Linked DNA regions of Kluyveromyces lactis. The protein of the gene in region 4 purifies or fractionates together with the protein of the main gene of each other region. This does not show direct contact. Links are inferred from orthologs where the notes say so. Each region holds a gene or a part of one and is shown on either strand. Other genes may lie near its edges.

Region 1 (2,436 bases), on a different chromosome or scaffold from region 4:
TAGAAATGAAAAGATTACAAGCAATTTTGGTCCGCATTTTTGATAATTTATGAAGGTTCTTGATTGGTTCAAAAAAGTAGTGGTATAATGTTATGAAAGCCGTACCAGCCGTCTCTATTGAAAAAAAATTGAAATAAGCTGACATTAAAAAACAACCATAACAGGTAAGGCAGCACGCCCGCATTTTTGATCTCGTGGATGGTTGCGCCACGATGCAATGAAACTGTTACAATAATCAATGATAAAAAATAGATCTTCTTTTATTAACTTGTCATGACATAGAATAATGTGAGACAAAATAACTCACCATGAAAGGTAGATTTGGTACGTTAGATCTGCTTCATTTCATTTCGTACAAGGCAGTGCTGTAAAAAAAAAACAGTTAATAGTATATGGGTCAAAATTATTCACAAGAAGGATGTGATGAGGGTGAAAATAGAATTGTACGCCTTGTAGTGTGAAGGCAATATCGTATTTCACCTCAGCTAGATTGAATTCTTCAAAAATTCAATCATATTTAAAAATCTTGGCCTTAACTCTGTCTTCGTTACTTCTGTAACCAGCGGTTGCAGCCATCTCTTCTTCCTTCTCAGCATGCTCCAAAGCCGCTTGCCAACGACGGTCTCTAGCCTCCTTCTTTTGATCTGGATGTAGCTTTTCCTCGTACATAGATAAACCAATTGAGGCTAGTAACAAAATCACAGTTATACCTTGAGCATACATTCTTGCCTGCACAGCCTTTTGGGCTTTGGTCATGTATAAGTCCCTATCAACCAATTTCCAGGATCCATACAAGGAAGCAGCCCATGCACCAACAATGATCTTGTACTTATTGTTGGACAAACCTTCGACCAATTTTTCGCTCATAGGCAGGTTCTTCCATCTGTTATGTTCAGCAAGAATATCACTGGACGAAGAGTCACCATACATTTTCTTATCAAAACTGTTAGAAGATTCTTCAGCGACAATAGAAGCCAAAAGAGTTGGAGGCGTGATGAATAAAGCAGTCTTGACAGACCATGTCATAGCCTTTGGATTGAATTTAGGATAACGATGGGGTAAAAACCTGAACATAGCTGCAGAAATTAACAGACCTGCAGCTGCACCTTTAACACCACCCATCAGGGTGTAGTGACGATGAGCATCAATTTCTTCTCTTGTTAAAATCTTCATCTTGCTGTGCTGGTTTTTTCGTCTTTCAGTTACTTATCTCTTAAGCTAACTTTTGATTCCCTTAGTTTAAATAAGGTGATAAATATCGAATTAATACTGGAACAAAATCCTAATATATCCCGATATTTATTTTAGCCAAGAGGATAAGCATTAACAAATTTTAACTGTCAAACGATATATATATATATAATTTGAAATGATTCTGTAAACGAATAAACCGAGAGAATGCTCTTCCTTATATACGATACTTTTAAATTCCCTCCCTGCCTTTGTTCCAATTATACTTTAATTTTGGTTCGATTTTACTTTTTTACTTTTTTCCTTCCCGTATGATAAATATTCTTTGTTCCTTTATTTCTTTTTCCTGCAATATCGTATACGATTTAGGATTTATGATTGTCCATGAGGCACTGCTACTGATGTTACGTAATTTTGGCAGTTAGCCAAACCCTATATCTCTCGTTCTTGTTGCCAGCCCATGAACAGGCTCAGCGTAACCTGTTCATTGCTATCAACGTATCAATGAACCATTCGATTGAAATTTCTTCCAAAGGTCAGACAAGTTTTTGTCTGAAAATAACTCCGTCAATTAGAAAGTGACTATGTTCATTACACTGATGTTCAAAATCAATCCATACTTTAGCGAAGCTAATACCTAAGTGGGACCAGCCGAACGAACTGTCCTACTCAGAAGGATTTGCGCGTGCATACGGAGATAGTGGTTTTAGTAGTTGTTACCTGAGAAGAAGCCGGTCGGAATTTGCCACGGTTGTGGCTCCACATTTCCTTGACACAAAGTTTCCTGTGATATGATTGGTCAGTCACACATGTTTAAAAAAAAAGGAAGAGCAGAGAATATGCATCGACTAACCCTAACAGCTGGAACCTACCAGATTCATCCAATAGAGTTACAGGATCTTCGAAAAGCTTCAGTTTTGGACCTAAGGCATCGGATCGTTCGGATAATATCCATTGCAATTAGTGCAGTGTTGCGTTCATTAGCCTGACCTTTTAATACAAGGGAGAGTGATTACCATTTTGAGAAATCGCCGAAATACTATTTTTCAGGTTTCTACTCTTAAGAAAAAGAGCTTAATATGTGGAAAGCCTTTGCTTTGAATATGGCCAGCAGAGTTTTGTACATCACTCTGTTTTGACGTAACCGATATGTATACTAGCTTGAGTCTCTACTGAAATACTTGTAAAATGAACGCATATTAGACTATTGAAGATTTTTTTCAACTAGTTAATAAGCGAACACTG
Region 2 (2,879 bases), on a different chromosome or scaffold from region 4:
GAAAATAAAAATAGGTTCGGCAAGAAGACACACTACGTATTAAACCAACGTTCTTGCAATATCACCACAACCTCTGTTTGATTGTTTTTCTTAAGAGCAGTGATGGGGATTGTATGAATCAACAGAACTGTTGAATTTGATCAGTGGCTTCTGCACATTTCAAAAGATTAAGATATTGACGGGTTCTCTTTTAACATCACCAGTTTTTCCAAAGGTTAAAGGTGTTCTTTTGAATCTTAGAGAGTTTTGTTTTTGAATTTTATTGGTTTCTTTTAGGTTGCAATGTTTCCAAAAGCCACGAAAGGTAAAAGATAATAAAAAATATGTACAATAGAAATGTAATATCGTTTCTAAACATTTCAGTGATGTGATTCTGTCATCTCTCATGAATATGTGTGTTTGTTTGTTGTTTTTTTTTCAGTTTTAAAGTACTATGTGTGTAACTTTGGCTAGTAGGAGAAAGGTTAAAATCTGTGAGTTATTTTTAACTGTGATGAAATTTACAATTCATCAGCGAAAGGTAGCTTAGCGACGTTACCTACAGCGGCGTAAGAGAATTTGTCCAACTTGACATTCTTGACATTAGAGACATCGATTGGAGCGTTTTCCAAAGATAATTGCAAGGCAGTGTATTCCTTAGCAGCTGAAATGTCGACATCCTTCTTCAAGGTATCAACGACCTTCTTTATGTTTTCAGCAACGACAGAAGCATCCTCACCCTTGACGTATAAAGAGAACAAGCCGGCATTAGCGTACTTGTCTAACTTAGCTGAGTCAATTAATGGAGACAATTCGGACAAAGCAGAGGTTAGGTACTTAGCCAAGACTTCGTAGGTAGCGAACTGTTCCTTAGTAACTGGAACAGCGATAGCGGCAACGGAGGCACCTGGAGCACTTAATCTGGCTTCACCGGAGAAGAACTTTGGTTGAGCTTGAGCAGCCAACTTGGAGCCAGTTGGTAAAGAACCAATCAAAGAGTCGTTGACAAATCTCTTCAAGTCAGCTTCGTTGACACCTTGACCAACAATTTCAATGTTTTCCTTGGTGTAGACCTTGTTGGCATAAGCCTTGATATCATCCAAGGTGACCTTCTCGACACCTCTGTATAGAACTGTGTTACCTAAGTCCTTTCTGAAAGAGACATTGTAAAGTAAGTCTTCGGCCTTGTTGATTGGGTTAGTTTCAGAAACGGAAATGTCGTACTTAGCAGCTGGCAAGACAGATTCTGGTAATTCGTGGGGTCTGAAACTGGTCTTGTACAAAACGTTACCCAAAGCGTTAACGAAGTATGGAAGATCTTCCTTCAAGAAAGTAGCCTTCAAAGTGATGTATTCTCTGTCAACACTGGATTCGAACTTACCACCCAACAATTCACTTTCTCTAACCAATCTCAAAGCAGACTTGTTACCGGTGTTATGGAAGTTGAATCTGGACAAAAGGTGGGCAATACCTTCTTTGTCGGCGTAACGAGAACCACCGTGAACCTTAACAGCCAAAGTGGATAGTTTACCGGAACCGTCTTTAGCGGAAATACTGAATTTTCTAGCAGTTTGCTGGGCAAATTGTAATCTACTGGACAACATCTTTATATTATATGTTTATGGGCTTTTTAATTTTGGGAGTCAGAATATCAATCAATATCAATATCAATTATGCGTTAATCAAAAGGTCTTCCTCTACTTTTCCTTTAATGTCCAAACTCAAATAATATTTACTCACACACAAAATAAGTATCGAAACAGAGCAAAAAAAGTACACTGACAGAGTAACGAGTAAAACAAAGTAATCAAAATAGTATATCAATCACAAATCTTTACAAAACCTGTAATCAAAACCAATCTTCAAACAAAAAGCTCTAAACTTTGAAGTAGAATTGTCATATTTTGTTATAAATTTTTCAAGAACCTATTGAATAAAGCTATATGCGATAAAATCCAATAACTAACAAAAAAAAAAAAAATTGAAAAAAAAAAGATATTTCGAGATGTGAAGACTGATCTCTACAGAGGAATCAGAGAAGAAGCGAGCTGATTCTGTAGAAAGGAGAAGCGTGCTTAGACCATCTTGGAGTCACAGTAAGAAGGGGATATCGGGTTTTAGCGGAACGTACTGGGAGTGAGAGGGAACAGACAGGAATCGCGTAATGCACTGTGAAAGGGTATTGGTAAACCATTTGAAGAAAAAATGGTTGGACACGGTTCTTAGAAATGATTGGTTCGTGAGTGATGAGATGTCACGTGACACAGAAACACAAAAGTCACGTGGTTGTGACCACGTGACTTACAATAATGTTGCCTGTTTCTTTCGATCTTCTTGAAAGACCCATCCATTCGTATTGAAAGAAAAAAAAAATCTATCAATTGAATTGATCTCATCTCATCTCATCGCATACATGCATGACTACTGCAACAAGGTGGCTCGACTGTAGAAAAGGTAGGAAAATAAACAATTGTTATTGCAAGCACTGACATGAGTGCTGCCCAAGCTGCCCTGATCCCCGATGCGGCTGTTCCAAATGGTGGTGCAAGTGTTGTATCAGCCGCAGAACCATCCACATCCACATCACCAGAACCAATCGATATCTCTTCATTAGAGCAGAGAACTCTTAACCCAGATTCGTTTTTATACTCTGAACTTGCCAGATCCCATCTTGGTGAAAGAGCCAGTACTGTTCTATCCGTGTTGGTCAACAAAGGAAGACTCTCCACGAGAGAAATTCATTCTTTCATACCAGAACTTTCGTTGTCCAGTATTAAAACCGTTTTGGTCAGTTTGATTCAATTAAGATGCGTACAATATTTGGAAGAAACCTCACTCTCTGGTCGTAAGACCCTTTATTACTACTTTAACGAAGAAGGTTTGTTCCTTATGTTATATGC
Region 3 (2,117 bases), on a different chromosome or scaffold from region 4:
TTAACAATGGGGAACAATGTAAAGTTAAAGTTTTTGGAACGTAAAGTCAGTTTGTATTCATCATTCGTGAAAAAAAAGTAAGTATTGAGTTACTAAAGACGTTTGCCATAACGCTGAGCATATCGAAGTTGATGTACTGCTTGTCACAGATTCAGTACAATAGATATTGATAATGAAGAAACTTATATCTACTTATGATCATTGACACAGTGTGACGTGTTTTATTCTATTTTTCTAGGACTGAATTTACAATAAAGATAAAAAGTGTGTTTATTCTTCTTGAGTTAAATAATAATTATTTGTATGGTGGAAACTCCACTATAAAGTTTATCCATATGTTTGTTGTATTTTGAAGTATAATGCCAGATTAAACGGATGTTTGAATTCTTTTGAAGATAATTTGAGGATATTTGATAAAAGGTGTTTTAAAAGATAAAAAAACCCACAGGCAGGGGCTATCTTGATATTTCATTATGAATGGCCAAAGCCCAACAAGTTGAGATCATTTATCGAACTGTGTTTAATCGTGAGAGACGTGTCTGTTAATGACTGGGTTCCAGAACAAAGTCTTGTCACCGTCACCCCAGAAGAAAGGCTTTTGTCTTAAGTTTTGGAATTCGTAGTCTCTTGGCCATTCTTCATCTGGAACGTGCTTCAAATGTTCACGGTGCTCAGCGTGTTCAGCTTCAACGAAGTAGGTGTTGACAGCGGTCAGAGCAATAGCTGGAGCAGCAACAAATATGGAGATCTTAACCCACAAGTTAGAGGTTTGCTTAGCGTGCTCAGTACTGTGCTTCATGTAGTCCTTGTAAGCTTGGGCAGCAGCCAAATCTGGCTTACCGAAAGCTGGTTCCAAAGCATACTTTGGTAGAGTAGAAGCTCTTCTAATGGCTTGTTTGAACATTTTTGATTATATCTAGGGTCTGGCTTTTCGAAACAGAATATCCTTATGGAATTAATTCACCAAACACAGTTGACGTTAAATAGATATCAAACTCGAAATGAATGTAAAATGAATTGTAAACAGTAAGAAAACTAATCACAAAAATCTCTTTTAAAAAAGTACTTTGACTTACCAATAAAACCTTTTCTATTATGGAAAGAGTAGCTTTAATAACTTGAACTTTCCTAACTATTAAACAATTTTTTTTTTCCTACCTCCAAAATTTTCTAGCATCAACACAATCTCTCTCGCGATATTTCCATATCCCACTCCATATAAAAAACCAAAAATGGCACGACGGAGAAACTAGACAAAGATCATGCTTTTTCGATGTTGTAATTTCGGTATCACATTACACGGTATGAAAATGATTGGTTGCTGGTCACGAGAGACTTAAGTTCTGGTAATGGACACTGAGCATAAAAGGTTCCTATTCCTTGTTTAAATGGTGTTGCTGTCTCGCCGGGACTACAAACCCACAAGTAGCTCATACGATACCGTTCACACTGGCAACAGATTCAGAAGTACTTCCTACTTTATTTTCTGTTTCTGTTGCATCTCTTTATACATATTGACAAACAGTGTAATATTGACGTTCAGGAATTCAAGTCCGGGTAACAATATTTGTTTCACGGCCTGGCGGTAATTGATTTTGGGTTTTTAGCAAACCTGAGCCATCGCATGTCATTCTAGTAGCTGCTGCAGGGACTTGCCGGCTGGGGTTGGTGTAGTGGACAGAAACACCGTTCCTAATATATAGAATGCTAGATTAAGCTGAGAGCTTGTTGCATTGAATTCAAAAAACAAGCGCGTTGGCTAATAGAACGCCCGTAGGATCAGCCATGGTTATGGAAATCAAAAGATTGCCTATTGCTGCTTAAGTGTAGCACGAACTTGTGGGTAATGTAACGTTTGTAATTACAAGGGCGTATGACATAAATTAAAAAAAAGAAGAAAAGTAAGAAGGAACACATACAGACTCCTAATGGATACTGTGTATCGACAAATAAAAGCTAGGACATTTGAAGTAAAGAGAGTATTACATCTTTAGTTTGTCTTTGAATTCTTTGATTTTTCCATGAATCTTTCGTATTTCCTTTTCACATCCACTTCATGGATAGATGAGCCTGTCACTTGATTTCCTATCGTGAACCATCCAGGACGGATGTTATGG
Region 4 (2,123 bases):
GTTCCCATCATTAGTACAAGAGCTTAGAGACATCTTGGCCGGGTACGGTATGCCCGAAGAAGCCATCGAATGGTACGAAAAATCATTGAACTACAACACCCCAGGTGGTAAGTTGAACCGTGGTCTTTCTGTCGTTGACACATACGCGCTTTTGAAAGGTTACAAGTCAGTGAGCGAACTATCTGCAGAAGAGTACAAGAAGGTTGCCATCCTTGGTTGGTGTATTGAACTGTTGCAAGCGTACTTCTTGGTTGCTGATGACATGATGGACCAATCGATCACAAGAAGAGGACAACCATGTTGGTACAAAGTGGAAAACGTCGGCGACATTGCGATCAACGATGCATTCATGTTGGAAGGTGCCATCTACTGTCTGTTGAAGAAACACTTCAGAACAGAGCCATACTACGTCGATCTATTGGAATTGTTCCATGACGTTACTTTTCAAACCGAATTGGGTCAGTTGTTGGATTTGATCACTGCACCAGAGGACAAAGTCGACTTATCCAAGTTCTCTTTGGAAAAGCATTCCTTCATCGTTATCTTCAAGACTGCATACTACTCTTTCTACTTAGCAGTGGCACTGGCCATGTTTGCTGCCGGTATTACCGACTCAAAGGACTTGAAACAGGCCAGCGACGTATTGATCCCATTGGGAGAATATTTCCAAATCCAAGACGATTTCTTGGATTGTTTCGGTAAACCAGAAGATATCGGTAAGATTGGTACCGATATCCAAGACAACAAATGTTCTTGGGTCATCAACGTTGCATTGAAGAATGCTACAAAAGAACAAAGAGATATCTTGGACGAAAACTACGGTAGAAAGGATTCTGAAAAGGAACAAAAATGTAGAGCTGTATTCAACGAATTGAACATCCAAGACATCTACCACAAGTACGAAGAAGAAACCGCTTCCAACTTAAGAGAGAAAATCGCTAACATCGACGAATCCCGTGGGTTCAAGGCCGAAGTTCTAACCTTGTTCTTGAACAAAATATACCACAGAAAGAAGTAGGTAAAGCATATATTATCTAACCATTTTAGATCACGTGCAACTAAATAAATAAAAGTAAGTTTCACTACCAGTATCACTGTATACGAACCAATAATACTACGTTTCGGCCTTTTCGCTTCTAAAAGACGAAGTCTTGAAAATCTTCCAGCGAGGGAAAAAGCTTTATATATAAGAAATAAGCTTTAAACCTCTACTTATTCAGATATTCAAATGATGCAAAGATGGAAAACTATTATACATAGTTTAGTCTCTGACTCAGTATCCGCAAGACCAAGAATTAAAATATTAAGACGAAATGGGTGGTCCACATGCTAAGGCTTACATGGGCTGGTGGGGTAGTATAGGTTCCCCAGCCCAAAAGGGTATTACTACATACACTGTTTCTCCATATGCTCAAAAGCCATTGAACAACATCTTCCACAACGCTGTTTTTAACACATTTAGAAGAGTTAAGAGCCAAATTTTGTACATGGCTCTTCCAGCTGCTTTGTACTGGGCTTGGTGGGTCAACTGCAGAGACTACAACGCTTACTTGTACACTAAGGCCGGTAGAGAAGAATTAGAAAGAGTTAACGTTTAAACAATGTTATTACAACACTAGACTAGTTCCTTTCTTTCTTCTGTCCAGGTTTAAAAGCTTACATGGAAAAAGAGGTGCGGCAGCACCCTTTTGACACTTTTATCAACATTCAAGATATATTTCTCACGTCACAAGAACATTTTTTATCATGTCAGGCCATCGAAAAGAGTTTCAGTATTATTAGATACTATTGAAAAGGAGAGAGCGAGTGGAAGTTCACATCCTCGGTTTTTAATTCTCTCTTTTCGGGTTTGGCTCAGTACCGTATTTATTGGAGGTTTTCATCAAGTGGTTACTCCCCTCAAATATATCTTCTATACTTCACTGTTTATACGAATTTGAAAAACTACTTTATTATGAATACTTACATCTGCGTGTCAAGGGCGTGATCGTCGTGCTCATATGTCGACGATCGGTGTGCTTGCCTGTTTTACATGTATATATATATATAGATGGATAAGTTTCTCCACTAATGAAAGTCACGTGACGTTATTACTTTCCCCCCGTAAAGGGTATTTAATCCAA

What was found.
Region 1: the proteins of QCR8 (region 4) and RCF2 purify together in Saccharomyces cerevisiae (affinity purification with mass spectrometry; 3 studies listed by BioGRID, with this or other methods). This does not show direct contact. The link is inferred for Kluyveromyces lactis from reciprocal best matches to the Saccharomyces cerevisiae genes QCR8 and RCF2.
Region 2: the proteins of QCR8 (region 4) and QCR2 purify together in Saccharomyces cerevisiae (affinity purification with mass spectrometry; 4 studies listed by BioGRID, with this or other methods). This does not show direct contact. The link is inferred for Kluyveromyces lactis from reciprocal best matches to the Saccharomyces cerevisiae genes QCR8 and QCR2.
Region 3: the proteins of QCR8 (region 4) and COX13 purify together in Saccharomyces cerevisiae (affinity purification with mass spectrometry; 3 studies listed by BioGRID, with this or other methods). This does not show direct contact. The link is inferred for Kluyveromyces lactis from reciprocal best matches to the Saccharomyces cerevisiae genes QCR8 and COX13.

What each region holds. Positions count from the first base shown.
Region 1 is NC_006042.1:573,914-576,349, forward strand, and holds RCF2 (Rcf2p), read right to left. Parts: upstream 1,174-2,436; coding exon 508-1,173; downstream 1-507. UniProt on the Saccharomyces cerevisiae protein: Assembly factor that plays a role in the assembly of the respiratory chain supercomplexes (SCs) composed of ubiquinol-cytochrome c oxidoreductase (cytochrome b-c1 complex, complex III, CIII) and cytochrome c oxidase (complex IV, CIV).
Region 2 is NC_006038.1:323,240-326,118, reverse strand, and holds QCR2 (ubiquinol--cytochrome-c reductase subunit 2), read right to left. Parts: upstream 1,584-2,879; coding exon 501-1,583; downstream 1-500. Other genes in the region: RPC82 (DNA-directed RNA polymerase III subunit C82), read left to right, coding at 2,470-2,879. UniProt on the Saccharomyces cerevisiae protein: Component of the ubiquinol-cytochrome c oxidoreductase, a multisubunit transmembrane complex that is part of the mitochondrial electron transport chain which drives oxidative phosphorylation.
Region 3 is NC_006042.1:844,181-846,297, forward strand, and holds COX13 (cytochrome c oxidase subunit VIa), read right to left. Parts: upstream 905-2,117; coding exon 521-904; downstream 1-520. Other genes in the region: IME4 (mRNA (N6-adenosine)-methyltransferase), read right to left, coding at 1,991-2,117. UniProt on the Saccharomyces cerevisiae protein: Component of the cytochrome c oxidase, the last enzyme in the mitochondrial electron transport chain which drives oxidative phosphorylation.
Region 4 is NC_006037.1:609,742-611,864, forward strand, and holds QCR8 (ubiquinol--cytochrome-c reductase subunit 8), read left to right. Parts: upstream 1-1,313; coding exon 1,314-1,598; downstream 1,599-2,123. Other genes in the region: ERG20 (bifunctional (2E,6E)-farnesyl diphosphate synthase/dimethylallyltranstransferase), read left to right, coding at 1-1,018. UniProt on the Saccharomyces cerevisiae protein: Component of the ubiquinol-cytochrome c oxidoreductase, a multisubunit transmembrane complex that is part of the mitochondrial electron transport chain which drives oxidative phosphorylation.